Caenorhabditis elegans: one gene and its partner. The protein of the gene in region 1 interacts with the protein of each later gene in a pairwise test. Each region holds a gene or a part of one and is shown on either strand. Other genes may lie near its edges. The genes, in order: sdz-38 and rga-1.

Region 1 (5,198 bases):
TAGGATTCAGATGGATGTGGTGATCCTGATGTATCCTCTTCGTTGTTTCGTAGACAGACGTGGTTTTTAACAAGTAGAAGATCTCTTCTTGAAGATTGGGTGAGTAACATCTTGCAAATGACTCTCTTGATGATTGATGTTCAGATTGCACAACTGATGGAGCTTCTCCACACTCAGTGTAATTATACACAAGCAGGCCATGTCCATATTGTTTCCCGCTCCTTTGAACATATATTTTTTGCGGAGTCGTGGACATGACAGCAAAGTACTGTCCATTGTGCATAATTGAAATTCCTGGATGGTGTCTTTTCTCACGCAGACTCTCAGATGGTTGTGGTAGTCAAAGCGAAGCGGAGCTGATGTCTCTTCTGCAATAATTAAAATTTGCAACGATTTTCTCATTCACTAAGGGCGTCAATATTTGAGAAATTTAGAGTCGTATAACTAGTGTATAAACTGTGAGTATAACACTTACCAATATCAGACCACGGTCCCACTTTGTCTGTTGCCAGTAAACAGAAGGTAACATCCTTTCCATCTACAAAAAAAAGGCAAATATGCCTTTTCCAAAATGGTGGAGCTTCTGGTACTTGCGTGTTGAGGCATCCAATTTCTTCTCTGAAAATTAAGATATTACATGTGGCTTTTTGATAGTTAACTAACATTAAGTCCGACTGGTTAACCAGATATTTTAGCTGCCAATAGCTGTCGTTCCAAAACTTTGAATCCAGCTTCAGGTAGAAAGTCCCATCATTAGCAATTCCGGCAGGTAGAATGAATGGGCAATATTTGCTCGATTTTCCTCCCAAGACATCATTGACCAAATCGTGTTGCATACCGTCATTCTGTAATATTCATTTTATCAAGTTATCATTTCGTTTTTATTTAACATACGGTTTTTGGAAAATTTCCCTTTTTCAGAGGCTTGTACAGACCAAAGTTGGGACGTGGTGTTCTGCCTTCGCAAGTGTAGTCGTACATGATCGGAGCGTGGCTAACCACATGCTTTGAAAAAGACTCCATCAGATAGTAGACCTAAAAACAATGGTTTCTGAATTTCTTTTTTGGATTATTGTTTTTTTAAATTTGATATGTTACTTTCACTATGCTCTCCCTAGAGTAAATTATGTTTCTTAACTATTAAATAGAATTAAAAATGTCATCCTTTATCGGTGCTTACAGACACACAATAACGGAAAATTGTGGCGAGGCATTTCTGGGCAGTGGAAACTGACAAAAAAAAAGGAAAAAACACGCTCTTAACCTTTCGAAATCACATGAGAAATCTGTGTCCAGAAATTCCCGCATTGCAAGTAGATCAAACAGTTGCGCAGCTGCACAGAGATGAATCGATGGAGTGCGCAGACACAATGAGAAAGAGACGACCCTCGTGGGAGCATGTACTCTTCTAGATCTTCAAAACACGCAAAAATCGATGGAAAATATGATTATTTTTAGAGTCGTCGAAGGAAGGGGAGGAGTCTAGTCAACAAGGTAGATCAAAAATAAATTTTAAAAAATTTGCTATCGTATTTTTTCGATAATATTTTTGTTCATTTCTCAAAAAAAAAACCAATTAAAATAATTTCTAGTTACAATATTTGTATTTGTACATTTCAAATCACAAGTTAATTCGAAGCAAAACTAGAAAAATGACCCGAGAATCTGATATCAAGGGTCTCTGTGTTCAGGACATCATTTTTTAAAAATATTTTCCACAGGATCTAAAAATAAATGCACTTTGGGAATTAAGCGCACATCATTCTGATAAGATTTAGAGTGGAAAACGATTTTTTAAGAAAAATTTATTGAGATTAAAAATATATCGCTGTTCGACATTTAAAAAAAAAACTGTTCAAAGAAAAAATTAAATATAGATCACAAAAAAATTATTAAAATGATGATAAAATGAAATTCTAGCACAATTCGATTTTCTTGAAATCGTCGTCTCGAAGGACATGCTGGATTGTCATTCCACATTTTCGCTTTCTGCATCCACTGATTTTAGGATTGGGAGATTCCAGTTCTCCAACAATCTGTGAGTAGTTGTCCAAAATGAATTTGAGTTGTGTTTCCGATAAATCATTGAATCCTCCAGAGTCAACTTTCAGTGATTGCTGACATTTTTGCTGTCGATTGGCAGAGTAGGCTTTGGATTGGAGAATAGCTGCTTGTGATAGTGTTCCTGAAAATAATTTACTAAGATTTAAGAGTGAATAAATTTGATATTAATACTCAAGTCTTCATAACTGCCTATCGTCTTTCTATTTTTTACCAGGCATCCTTGTGCCTACTTTAAAGCTTCAACTAACCTGGTGCAAATGTACCCTTGGCTAGTACCACCTCGTCTCCTGGCTGCCCAGTTGCTTTCATTGCGTCCAAATGAGTTCTCAGTTGAATTTTGTTCTCAAAAATCCAATGGCAACAACTACACGACTGTACATCTACATATCCATGAGCATGTTGCAAGTGCTTCTTTATACTTTCTCCCAGAATCGGAGCACCTTCACAGTTTGAGACGCAGATGAGACACGTGTGATTCTTGGTGTGAAGTCTGTCCCTATGGCGAGTCATTGAGCCCGTTTGACTGAATGTAAGTTGACAGTAACCGCAGATTGGTGCTTCAGATTTAGGCGAAAAATATGGAGGCATTTTCTGAAAAAAAAGAGATTTAGGAAGAATAGTCGTGAAAAAATATACATTTTTAAAGAAAACACACAATCTTTCGATACAGACCGAATGAAGAGCACACTGGGTTAGAGGAAAATGTGGTGAATGAATGTGTGGTCTTCGTTACATACACAACGTGTCATGATGGGTAACTAGGCGGAGTCCATCGACAACCTGGCGTTCCACCAGGTTTACACCCGACCAAGTACTGCGTTCATGTATCAAATTGCGGTTGGACTCTATAAACATCCAATCAATAAACAGTGGTCTGCTATCCGCTGAGTTCAAGCAGAAAAAGTGAATTTTCAGTCATACCGTTTAGTGCACAAATTGAGATTGAATAAAATCGACCATTTATATGCAAAATTAATAGATTTCCCAATTTTTAAAAATTCATATCTGGCTTCAAACTAGCTTTTTCAAAAATCCCTGCAGCCATTTTGTTGCAAATTTTGTGTTCTTTCAGAATTTAAAAACCAAATTTCCTTTTACCTTTTCTAAATGAAAAACCTTTTCTAATTGAAATATTCCAATGTTTGGTATAATTTTTCAATTGCTACACCATTTTTCGATGAATTTCTCTATTTTTTTCGATTCTCAACTATAATGGTCCTATGAAAAAAGCACCTCGGAAAGGAATTTCAACACCACATCATCAGTCACAATATGCAATTTTATTAACATCGGGATTTTTGGGAAATTTTGGAAACTTGTCGAACTAGACTTTTCCATCTAGTTGACCTTTTTCAAGAAAATCCGTCTTTGACGATTATGTGTAAATTGTTCATTTGAATAAAAAATTTAATTACTCCGTTTGTTCCGTGGGCAAACGGAAGGCAACACCCATTTACATTGAAATTAAAATCATGTTCTTCTTCCTATTCTTCAACATTTTCTTCACACCAACAGAAGCGGATCTAATTTGTGTGGAGTGCTTCTTCTTCTTCTTCTTTTTCTACGTTGTCTTGTTCAAGTATCTAGTACCAAAATGGGAAGGAACCAAAGAGAGAGAAGAAGGACAAACAAAATCGTAAAATGAGAGAAATAGGAGGAGATGGAAGATTTTATTGGTGAGATTAGAGGAAACCAAAACTGAAAGCACCTCAACAACTTCTAAAGTCTTTTTTTCTGGTTTCAGTATCACTTTGGTGTACTGTAGGTGTCAATAGCCTTTACCTTGAAAGCTGAAAAAAAATTTTAAATTATTTAAAAACTTTCAATGATTTCAATTAAAATAATTCATCAGACTGCCTTGATTTTTTCGCTAAAATAAGATTCGAAACGAATATTTACCAATTTTCAGATATTTTCGTCTGTAAAAAAATTGATAGCCAGAAGAAATTTGTATCTAACATATTTTGAAAAAATTTAAAAAAAGTTTAAACTTTTAGCAGCTTTTAAATCGGAAACAAGTTAGGAAATTCAAATGCAACGGAATTCCAAAATTAATTCAGCTTTTTCAATTTTGTTTCAGTAGGTATAATCGTTTGAAAATATTATGAATTTTATTACACAGTGAAAATGTTTACATTTTCTACATATTAAAGCAAAAGACAAACTCTGTATTTAAATTCCAATTGGGAATGAGTTCACGACTAAACATGAAAATATGAAATCTCAAAATTTTGAAGAGACTGTCAATTAAATTGGTTTTTGGTTGCTATTTTTTCATAGCTCCGTATTTTTCGTTTTTTTTTCTGCATCCAAAACCGGAACACGCAATCTTTCCCTATCCCCCGACATCCTCTCCCAACCGAAGACTACTAATTTTCAGTTTTTTTCCCATTACGCCGCTTGTATTTCGATAGTTGTTATTGTTGTTTTGTTAATGCTCTCTACCTCCCGTTCTTTTTATTCTCTTTAAAATTTCTTTATCGTGATTCTCTCCCACTCACTCACTCAACCACTATCTACATTCGGTGTCAAAAACAACAACAACACACCGTCTCGTTTTCATCCTTTTTCGTTTTTTTCCTCTCGTATACCCGCTAGCAATTCGAGTTCCACAAGCGTTAGCCGGGCTACCAGTTGTTTTTCAGCTTCTCACGTTCTCGGTTTACATAAATTTTCACACTGGGAGGTATAGGTTTTCAGTTAGCTTTCAGTTTTCAAAGCGTGCTTCACGTCTTAAAAAAAGTTTTTAAAAAAAATTTCAAACCTATAAATCCAGTCATATCGTAATTTCCTAGTTTTTGAAACTCACACTAAAAGACGCACAGATATATTTGAATGGGTCTCACCTCGAAACGCCAACAAGTAGCTCTTTTTACTTTTGATGTTTAAATTATTTCTTGTTAAAAATACATTATAAATGGGAGGCTAATATACCATATTTCTACCAGTAGGCCCCCCCCCCCACTTTGATGGTCTAAATCAGGGCTGTTTTTTTTTTGTTTTTTTTGGTTTTTTGTTTTTTTGATTTTTTTGGTATTTTTGGGAAAAATTGATTTTTTGGTTTTTTTGGTTTTTTGACGCCAAAAAAACCAAAAAAACCAAAAAATCAATTACAGCACTGATTCCGCAAAAAA
Region 2 (7,616 bases), 1.5 Mb from region 1:
GCTCTCTCCTGGTCCGTTTACGAGCTTTTCAAATTCATGTTGTCTTTCGAAGGAGGTCATTCGAGTTGATAATTTTGATCTTTTCTCCAATTTTTCCCCCAATTTTTCCTCTTTTCCAAGGTTTCTCCTCATATAGGTTAGGTTCAATAGTTCTCATTTCTTTTTGTTGTTTTTTTTTCATATTACTCTCAGTTTTCTATGTTTCTTTTTTTTACAAAACACGTGTCAAACCCGTGCAGATGCCTTCTAGATTCTTTTTGTTGTGTTCTGAAAGTTTTATCGAATCCAAATGATTTCTTTGACTATCAACCTATGCGAGCATTTCTAGTGGAAAAGTGTTCATAATAATTGTATCCCATCCCTCCCTCTCTCATCCCTTTATTATTCGAGACAAAAATTCAAATAAATACATAAAAAATTAGTGTTTCCACTGAATTTATATGTTCTTTGTGCTCCGTAGTTTCACACGGAAATTTGTATCTTGTGTCTATTTCTCTCTTATCTCTCATTTTCTCGTTTTTACTGCGATTGGCGCTGATGTTCAGGCGACCGCCTCGACTTCAACGTCACTTTCTTTCTCTTTCACAATTGTTAGTGATCTTATAATGTCCACGAGGCTGAAGATTTTTCGATTTTTGGCGGAAAATGAGCGAAAAATTCTAATTGTAAAATATATCAAATTCACAAAAATCGATTTTCTTTTCGATTTGACCTTTGAAAAAAAGTTATTTTTCTTCTTCTCACGTCCAAATTTTTTAATCAAAAAGATCAATCGATAGATTACGAAAAAAGGTTTTTAAATTTATTTCTACATATTTTACAATTTTCTTCGAAAAATGACCATCGCTGGATTTTGTGCTTTATCTCTCATTCAAGATCACTGTTGTTGGACAACGCCACAGCATTGTTCTGTTGCAGAGCTTGGTAATTTTGGCATAATTTGTTGATTGAACTGCCTCTTATTACACAGATTCACAATTTTCCGATTTTTTGGTCAAAGGTTACGTATCTGGTCTCAAAGCGACTGGTTTTCCAATAGAAAGAGTGTGCGCCTTTAAAGAGTACTGTAGTTGTCAACTCGCGAATTCTCTCATAAATTTTAAAAGATAGCACTTCTGAAAAAGTTATGAAAATTGATACAGTACTCCTTAAAGACGCATACTCTTTCCCAATAAAGCAAAGCGGTCGTTTCGAGACCCGATACTGTACTTTTATGCGAAAATCGCCAAATTTTGCATCTACCTTATGATAAATCGTATATATTTTTTTTCGCTTGAATCTTATTCCTTAAATTTTTTTTGTTAAATTAAATTTTCCAGGTACCATGCCTTGCCCAACTCAAGTCTCTGGTCGCTGTGTCGCCACGACTGCCGCCGTTCTCGCGGGAGGAGCTCTTATTGGATACCTTGTAAGTTCAAGCCTTCCCCTGATGTAGCCTCTTCAATTTCACTAATTAATTTCAGGTTGGTTACAAGTTCGGACAGCGTTCGGCTCGCTGCAACTACAAGATCCAGCTCGACTCGAATAAGATCGTCGACACCGTCGATATTGAGGATATTGGAGAGAAGAAGGCATTCTGCAGATGCTGGAAGAGCGAGAAGTGGCCATACTGTGACGGATCACATGGAAAGCACAACAAGGAGACTGGCGACAATGTTGGCCCACTCATCGTCAAATCCGAAAAGAAGTAAACGTCGTCTCGACAAATCATTGATCTTCATTATCTATTGACTTCTAAATGTTCTTGTGATCGTCGAAAACCATCGGTTTTATATGATTTAGTACGGATACAGTGAATTAATTTTTAGTATAAATGACAAGTGTTTTGAATTTTATTTAATATGGATGCAATAAATAAATTACAGTAAGGCAAAAAAGTACAGAAAAACGGGGGAAAATGCAAAAGCTGAACACCCTAATGATCAATGATCAAATACTGAATCATAATCCACAATTAATTTATAGCAGAAGTTATTGAGGTTATTCAATTGAGAAATCGGCACTTCTTGATCCGTTGGCCACGTCAAATTTGGACCGAAAACGACACTCAAATTGTTTGCAGTCATCAGATTCACTTTGCTGTTTTCGGCGACTCGAGTTAGGAATTTGATGACTGTTTTCAGAAGAATGTAGTTTTCACGAGGCAGAAGCTTCACAAATTCTTTCACGGCGGCGCTTTTCTCGGTTTTCGATACTTCTGAAAGATTCAGATATTAAATAAACACTGTTTTCAATTGACTTTAAATATTTTCTCACCTGAAAGAGCCGCAAGTTTCGGATAAAGCCTATTGGTCGTTAGGGGCTCTCCGAGGCTCCTGAAGAACGTCTTCAAAAGTACAGAAGCATGCAGGGAAGCCACGTATTCGTTGTCCTTGTACTCTGGATCATTTTCGAAATCAATTTTTTCGCCTGAAACAAATATTTAAAATTAAAATCAAAATCAAAATTCAATTTCCTAGCCTATTAAATACCTTTATTAATTCTATCCTGTAGCCTCTTTATACTTCCAATATTAGCACTTTTCCTGAAAACTCCTTCCATTGTCAACGCGTGAGCTTCCAGATACTCGATGAGCTGGTCAACGATTGGAGGGATGTTTCCACCACAGTGAGACAGGATGCTGAAAATTTGTTTATCTTAATATTAATTAATTTATTTATTTAATTAATTTAGTTTATAAAAATCACGTTTGAATGACATTTCTGGGAAAACGTGGGAAATTTATTGGAAAAAAAAAATTCTAAATAAAAAAAAAAGAATTTTCTTAGAGTTTAGAATTTAGAATTTATTTCCGAATCTTTCACTGGTCGGTGTTCGAATCAAATGGACGGTGTTCGTATAAAAAATGGTGAGTTGTTATATTTTTTAATATTTTTAGTTTATATATATATATAATAATTTCAGACTTTTATAACAATCATACTAATGATTTAAAACATCAAATCGCGCAATTGGAGAGAAAAACCGCCACAATTCCAAAACTCGAGAATCAATTGCATAAAGCAAAGAATCAGAATAAGGTGCTACGACGTGAATCGGCACTTTTCCCGTCAGCATCTTGCGCTGATGTATCCAGAGTTGAAGATCAAAAAGTGAAGACTTTGAGAAATGAATTGGCGGATCTTAAGTTGAAACTTCGGCAGTTGGAAGATGACAATAAGGAGAAAGACATGGAAAATGACAGGCTGATTCAGGAGAATCGAACTTTGAAACGTGAAAAGCTGAAGCTTATCAACTGTTTTAAAACCCAAATGGCTGAAAAGGACGCCATCATTCGTGAACTCAACGATGAAGTTGTTGATCTTCGTGGCCAAATTCGCGTGGCAATCCGTGTTAGAGATTTTGAGAGAGATGGATCTTCCAACTTTAGCATCATCTCACAAAATGAGGTTCAACTCCAGCAGGTACGAATTTTTGATTTTAATACTTCAAGTTTAAAGCACATATTTTCAGACCACCGGCCAATCCAACACCTACAGTTTCGAGCACGTCTTCTTTCCTCCGACCGCCCAATCCGGAGTTTTCGGTGAGATCAAGGAGTTGATCATGTGTGCGCTTCATGGAAAAAATGTGTGTCTCATCGCCTACGGACCAACTGGAAGTGGAAAGACTTTCACGATGCGAGGAGAAGATAGTGCTGATTCGGAAGGAGTCATTCCACGTGCTATTCGATTTATGCTGGAGCAATCAAAGAGAGATCTTGCGATGATTGGTTGGAACTACAAATTCCAAGCATCCTTCATTGAAGTTTATAACGAAGAAGTCTATGATTTGTTGGATGGGAAGCAGAAGTTGGAGGTTAGATAATCTCATCTTATTATCTGTATTTTCAATATTTTGCAGGTAAAGATAAATGGATCGAAGACGAATGTAGTTGGACTGAAGAAAATCGAAATAGGAAACATCTCCGACGTTGATGTGATTCTGAATCTTGCCGATTCGCAAAGATCCGTAGCTTCAACAGCATCTAATGAGCATTCATCTAGATCTCATGCAATTTTCCAAATCTTCGTTGATGGGCAAAACGCCTCTGGTGAGATGGTTCAATGCTGTCTCAACTTGGTGGACTTGGCTGGTTCCGAACGGGCGAAGGAGACGCAAGCTCGTGGGAAGCAGTTCACCGAGCTCACAAACATCAACCAGAGCTTGAGCACTTTGAAAAAATGCATCCGAGCTCAAATGACGAAGATGTCGCATGTTCCATATCGTGACAGTAAGCTCACAATGGTGCTTCGCGAGTATTTGGGTGCAGGATCGTCGAAAACAATGTTCATTGCTCATGCGAATCCTCGTGATGTTGCCGAAACCAAACGGACATTGGAATTCACTTCCGAGGTATTTGTGCATATTTTTTTTCTGACATATCTTTTAAATTTCAGCTTCGTTCAACAAATTTGGGAAAAGCAGTTGTTCAAACAGGACAAAAACTATGAACTCTTTTTAGTTTTTAGACATTTTTGAACTGTATTGAATAAAGACTTACAACTCGAGAGGAACTCCAAACTGTTGTGTTGGCAGAGGTTGAGCTGGTGGTGTTTCAGGTCGATTTGATTGAGTTGAAAATGATTTATCATGATCTCGAATTGGACTTGGAAGATTTAATCTGAAAATAATCTTTTTTATAACAATTTAAAAAATTAAAAAATAAGAAAAGAAAAAACGAACCTTGCCACTGAAAGTGCGTTCTCCAGCTCGTCTATACACATGACATAGTGGAACTTGTTCTCAAACTTGCTCGATATGAAACCTTTGAACAGCGAGAAGATAATGCGGATGAATCGTGTTGGATGCACTACGTAGAGCGCTTTCAGGTTCTTTTTGAATCTGGAAACCGGTTTTTTTGAAAGAGAAGAGATGAATTGAATTCAAATACTTACCTACGATCAAGTTGTTTGTAAGCCTGGAACAGCCACCGTACCGGTGGTTTGTTGTGACTTCGTAGGCCATAGTGAAAATAGACAATTGTGTAGTCTTGGTCAACGATCTGGAAAATTGCAAATTTTATTTTTATCAAAATATTATATTTATTAAAAATTCCCAACCTTATCAATAATTTGTACCAAATACTGTAGAAGTCTGGCATGATCTATTTCCTTGCTTGATGGGAGCCGATAAGCATATACGACAACAATTGGCCTGCAAACTATGATTCATTAAAACAAAAAAGATAATTAATTTTTGGATTCAAATTAATTTACCTTCCAACTCGATCCCCATCAGCAATTACTTGAATAATTTCGTGAGCTGATATGTCGTTGAAAAGATCTTCGAACGGTTCAACACCTCCAAGCTCTGTCTCGAATTCTTCAGTTTCCAGAAACGATCGAGATGGCGTCATTCCAGTGACACTTACTGAAATAAACCAGTTTTCTATTAAATTAAATATCAATAATTATTATTCCACTTACCGCTTAGGTCATCCGGTGTGAGAAGGTCATCATCGGCATAGCCATCCACCGGATCTTCGAATTCTCCAAGATTTATGTTGGGATCTGATGGACCTGATGGATCCGGAGGATGTTTCGTGTCCATTTGCTGAAAATCTTAACAGTGAAATTTTCATTAAGACAGGGGCAAGGTAATTGACTACACACACTTGAGAATTTGGAAATATTTTAAGTTTCTAAGAAAATGATTCGTATAATAAATATCATATAATAAGTAGGCATATATAATGACCAATCAATATGTTTGAAAACATGTGTCAGATGGATTGCAGCGTGAGGTGAGAAGTGTTGGGTGAGAGATGTGAGGGAAAACAAGACGCAGACACACACACACACACCGGAAGAGAGGGTACGGTTATGAGGGGAGAGACCGAGGGAGATTGAGGAAGAAATGGACGAACAGTGCAGTATGTACCAAACGGCTTTTATGTTGAAAAAGAGAAAGAGAGAGTGGAGAGGAAGGAAACACTCCGCCGCGCCATTTGACAGCAGCGCCGGTTTTTATGAGATTCGTATCAAGGGAAGATGACGTTTTTTCTTTTGGATTGATTTAGAGAAAGCCCAGATTGCCATCAGCACTGAATATTTTCTCGTTGAATTTATTGTGTCTAGCCAGCTGTTTTGTGAGCGAGAATGAATGAAATTGATATGGGGTCACGACACAGCGCAAATATAGTGTCCAGTGGTCGCGGCGCTCGCCAAAAATGTCATTTCAATGAGAGGATTTTGTGTTTATTCAGCAAACGGTCGACGGGGATTACCAGTTTACTATTGAATCAAAAATATTTGAGAATTAAACAATTAAATTTTTAATTAAAACAAAATAAAACAAAAAAAAACAGCTTCTTTTCTAGGCCATGGCCTAACATGTTCTAGGCCAGTGTAGATTTACGGCACATTTTCTCTTAAATAATTATTTCGTTTTGAAAACGTTTTCAACGTGTATTCAACCGGAATGCGATGGGAATTGGCTCCAAAATATTGGAAAATAATATTCAGAAATCAATTTCACTTGGATTCTATCATTCACATTCGGAAGTAAGTTTTAAATCGGTTGAAATAACATTTTAATAGTTTATTTCAGCTTCGCAAGAGTTTCTACGAATTTTTCAAATCGAAAAATCACGAAATACTCAGATCTTCATCTGTAATTCCAGACGAAAACGATGGAACCTTGTTATTTACAAATGCTGGAATGAATCAGTTCAAGCCATTAATTCTATCATCAACCGAATCTAGAAGAGTTGCAAATATTCAAAAATGCATTAGAGCCGGAGGAAAACATAACGATCTCGATGACGTTGGAAAAGATTTACATCATCAAACATTTTTTGAAATGATGGGCAATTGGTCGTTCAATGATGCATTCTCAAAAGTTGTTTAACGACGCATTTCTCTCTGAATATCTAATATTTTATTTGCTTTCAGGAGGAAGCATGTCGATATGCATGGGAATATTTGGTGGAAATTCTAGGAATCAATGCAGATAGATTGTATGTTTCCTATTTCGGTGGAATCGAGAAGCTCGGATTACCGGAAGACCGTGAATGTCGAGAAATTTGGAAACGAATTGGAGTATCGTCAAATCGAATTCTTCCATTTGTCGCTGAGAATTTTTGGGAGATGGGTGCAGCTGGTCCGTGTGGTCCTTGCACCGAGATTCATTATGATAGAATCGGCGGAAGAGATGCTTCTCGATTAGTGAATATTGATGATTCAGTTGTAGAAATTTGGAATATTGTCTTCATGAGCAGCGTCAGAGATTCATGTGGTCAAATTCGACATTTGGGAAAAAACCACATTGACACAGGAATGGGATTCGAACGTCTTCTATCAGTTGTCCAGAACAAAACTTCAAATTTTGACACTGACGTGTTCACACCGATTCTAGAAAAGACCTCCGAGCTGGCAAAAAAGCAATACACTGGAAGTCTGGATAGTCGACAAGATGCCACATTCCGTCTCGTCGCTGATCACATTCGTGCTGCGACTGTGGCGATCAGCGATGGAGCTGTACCTGATGGAACTGGGTGTGGATTTATTGTTAGAAAAATGATGCGACGAGCTTTTTTGCAAGGAATTTCGAAACTAGGAATTGAGAGATACGCGATGAGTGAGCTGGTTCCAGTTGTTGCTTCAACGATGGTAAGCTTAAAGCTTCTCAAACAT

The links.
Region 2: the proteins of sdz-38 (region 1) and rga-1 interact in a two-hybrid assay, tested with the Caenorhabditis elegans proteins (one large-scale study listed by BioGRID).

Annotation. Positions count from the first base shown.
Region 1 is NC_003280.10:9,979,096-9,984,293, forward strand, and holds sdz-38 (C2H2-type domain-containing protein), read right to left. Parts: upstream 2,766-5,198; 5' UTR 2,701-2,765; intron 2,656-2,700; 5' UTR 2,653-2,655; coding exon 2,313-2,652; intron 2,186-2,312; coding exon 1,917-2,185; 3' UTR 1,791-1,916; downstream 1-1,790. Other genes in the region: ZK892.6 (uncharacterized protein), read right to left, coding at 67-368, 476-618, 664-845, 895-981.
Region 2 is NC_003280.10:11,462,813-11,470,428, reverse strand, and holds rga-1 (Rho GTPase-activating protein 68F), read right to left. Parts: upstream 5,536-7,616; 5' UTR 5,533-5,535; coding exon 5,409-5,532; intron 5,353-5,408; coding exon 5,199-5,352; intron 5,137-5,198; coding exon 5,043-5,136; intron 4,985-5,042; coding exon 4,878-4,984; intron 4,825-4,877; coding exon 4,666-4,824; intron 4,604-4,665; coding exon 4,484-4,603; exon of another isoform or gene 4,434-4,483; coding exon of another isoform or gene 4,380-4,433; intron 4,336-4,379; coding exon of another isoform or gene 3,844-4,335; intron 3,799-3,843; coding exon of another isoform or gene 3,454-3,798; intron 3,405-3,453; coding exon of another isoform or gene 2,905-3,404; intron 2,849-2,904; coding exon of another isoform or gene 2,824-2,848; exon of another isoform or gene 2,804-2,823; intron 2,621-2,803; coding exon 2,472-2,620; intron 2,410-2,471; coding exon 2,257-2,409; intron 2,198-2,256; coding exon 1,923-2,197; 3' UTR 1,776-1,922; downstream 1-1,775. Other genes in the region: slc-25A37 (Mitoferrin), read left to right, coding at 1-69; cisd-1 (CDGSH iron-sulfur domain-containing protein 2 homologue), read left to right, coding at 837-924, 1,320-1,408, 1,464-1,691; klp-17 (Kinesin motor domain-containing protein), read left to right, coding at 2,824-2,848, 2,905-3,404, 3,454-3,798, 3,844-4,335, 4,380-4,433; aars-1 (Alanine--tRNA ligase, mitochondrial), read left to right, coding at 6,408-6,485, 6,532-6,822, 6,876-7,592.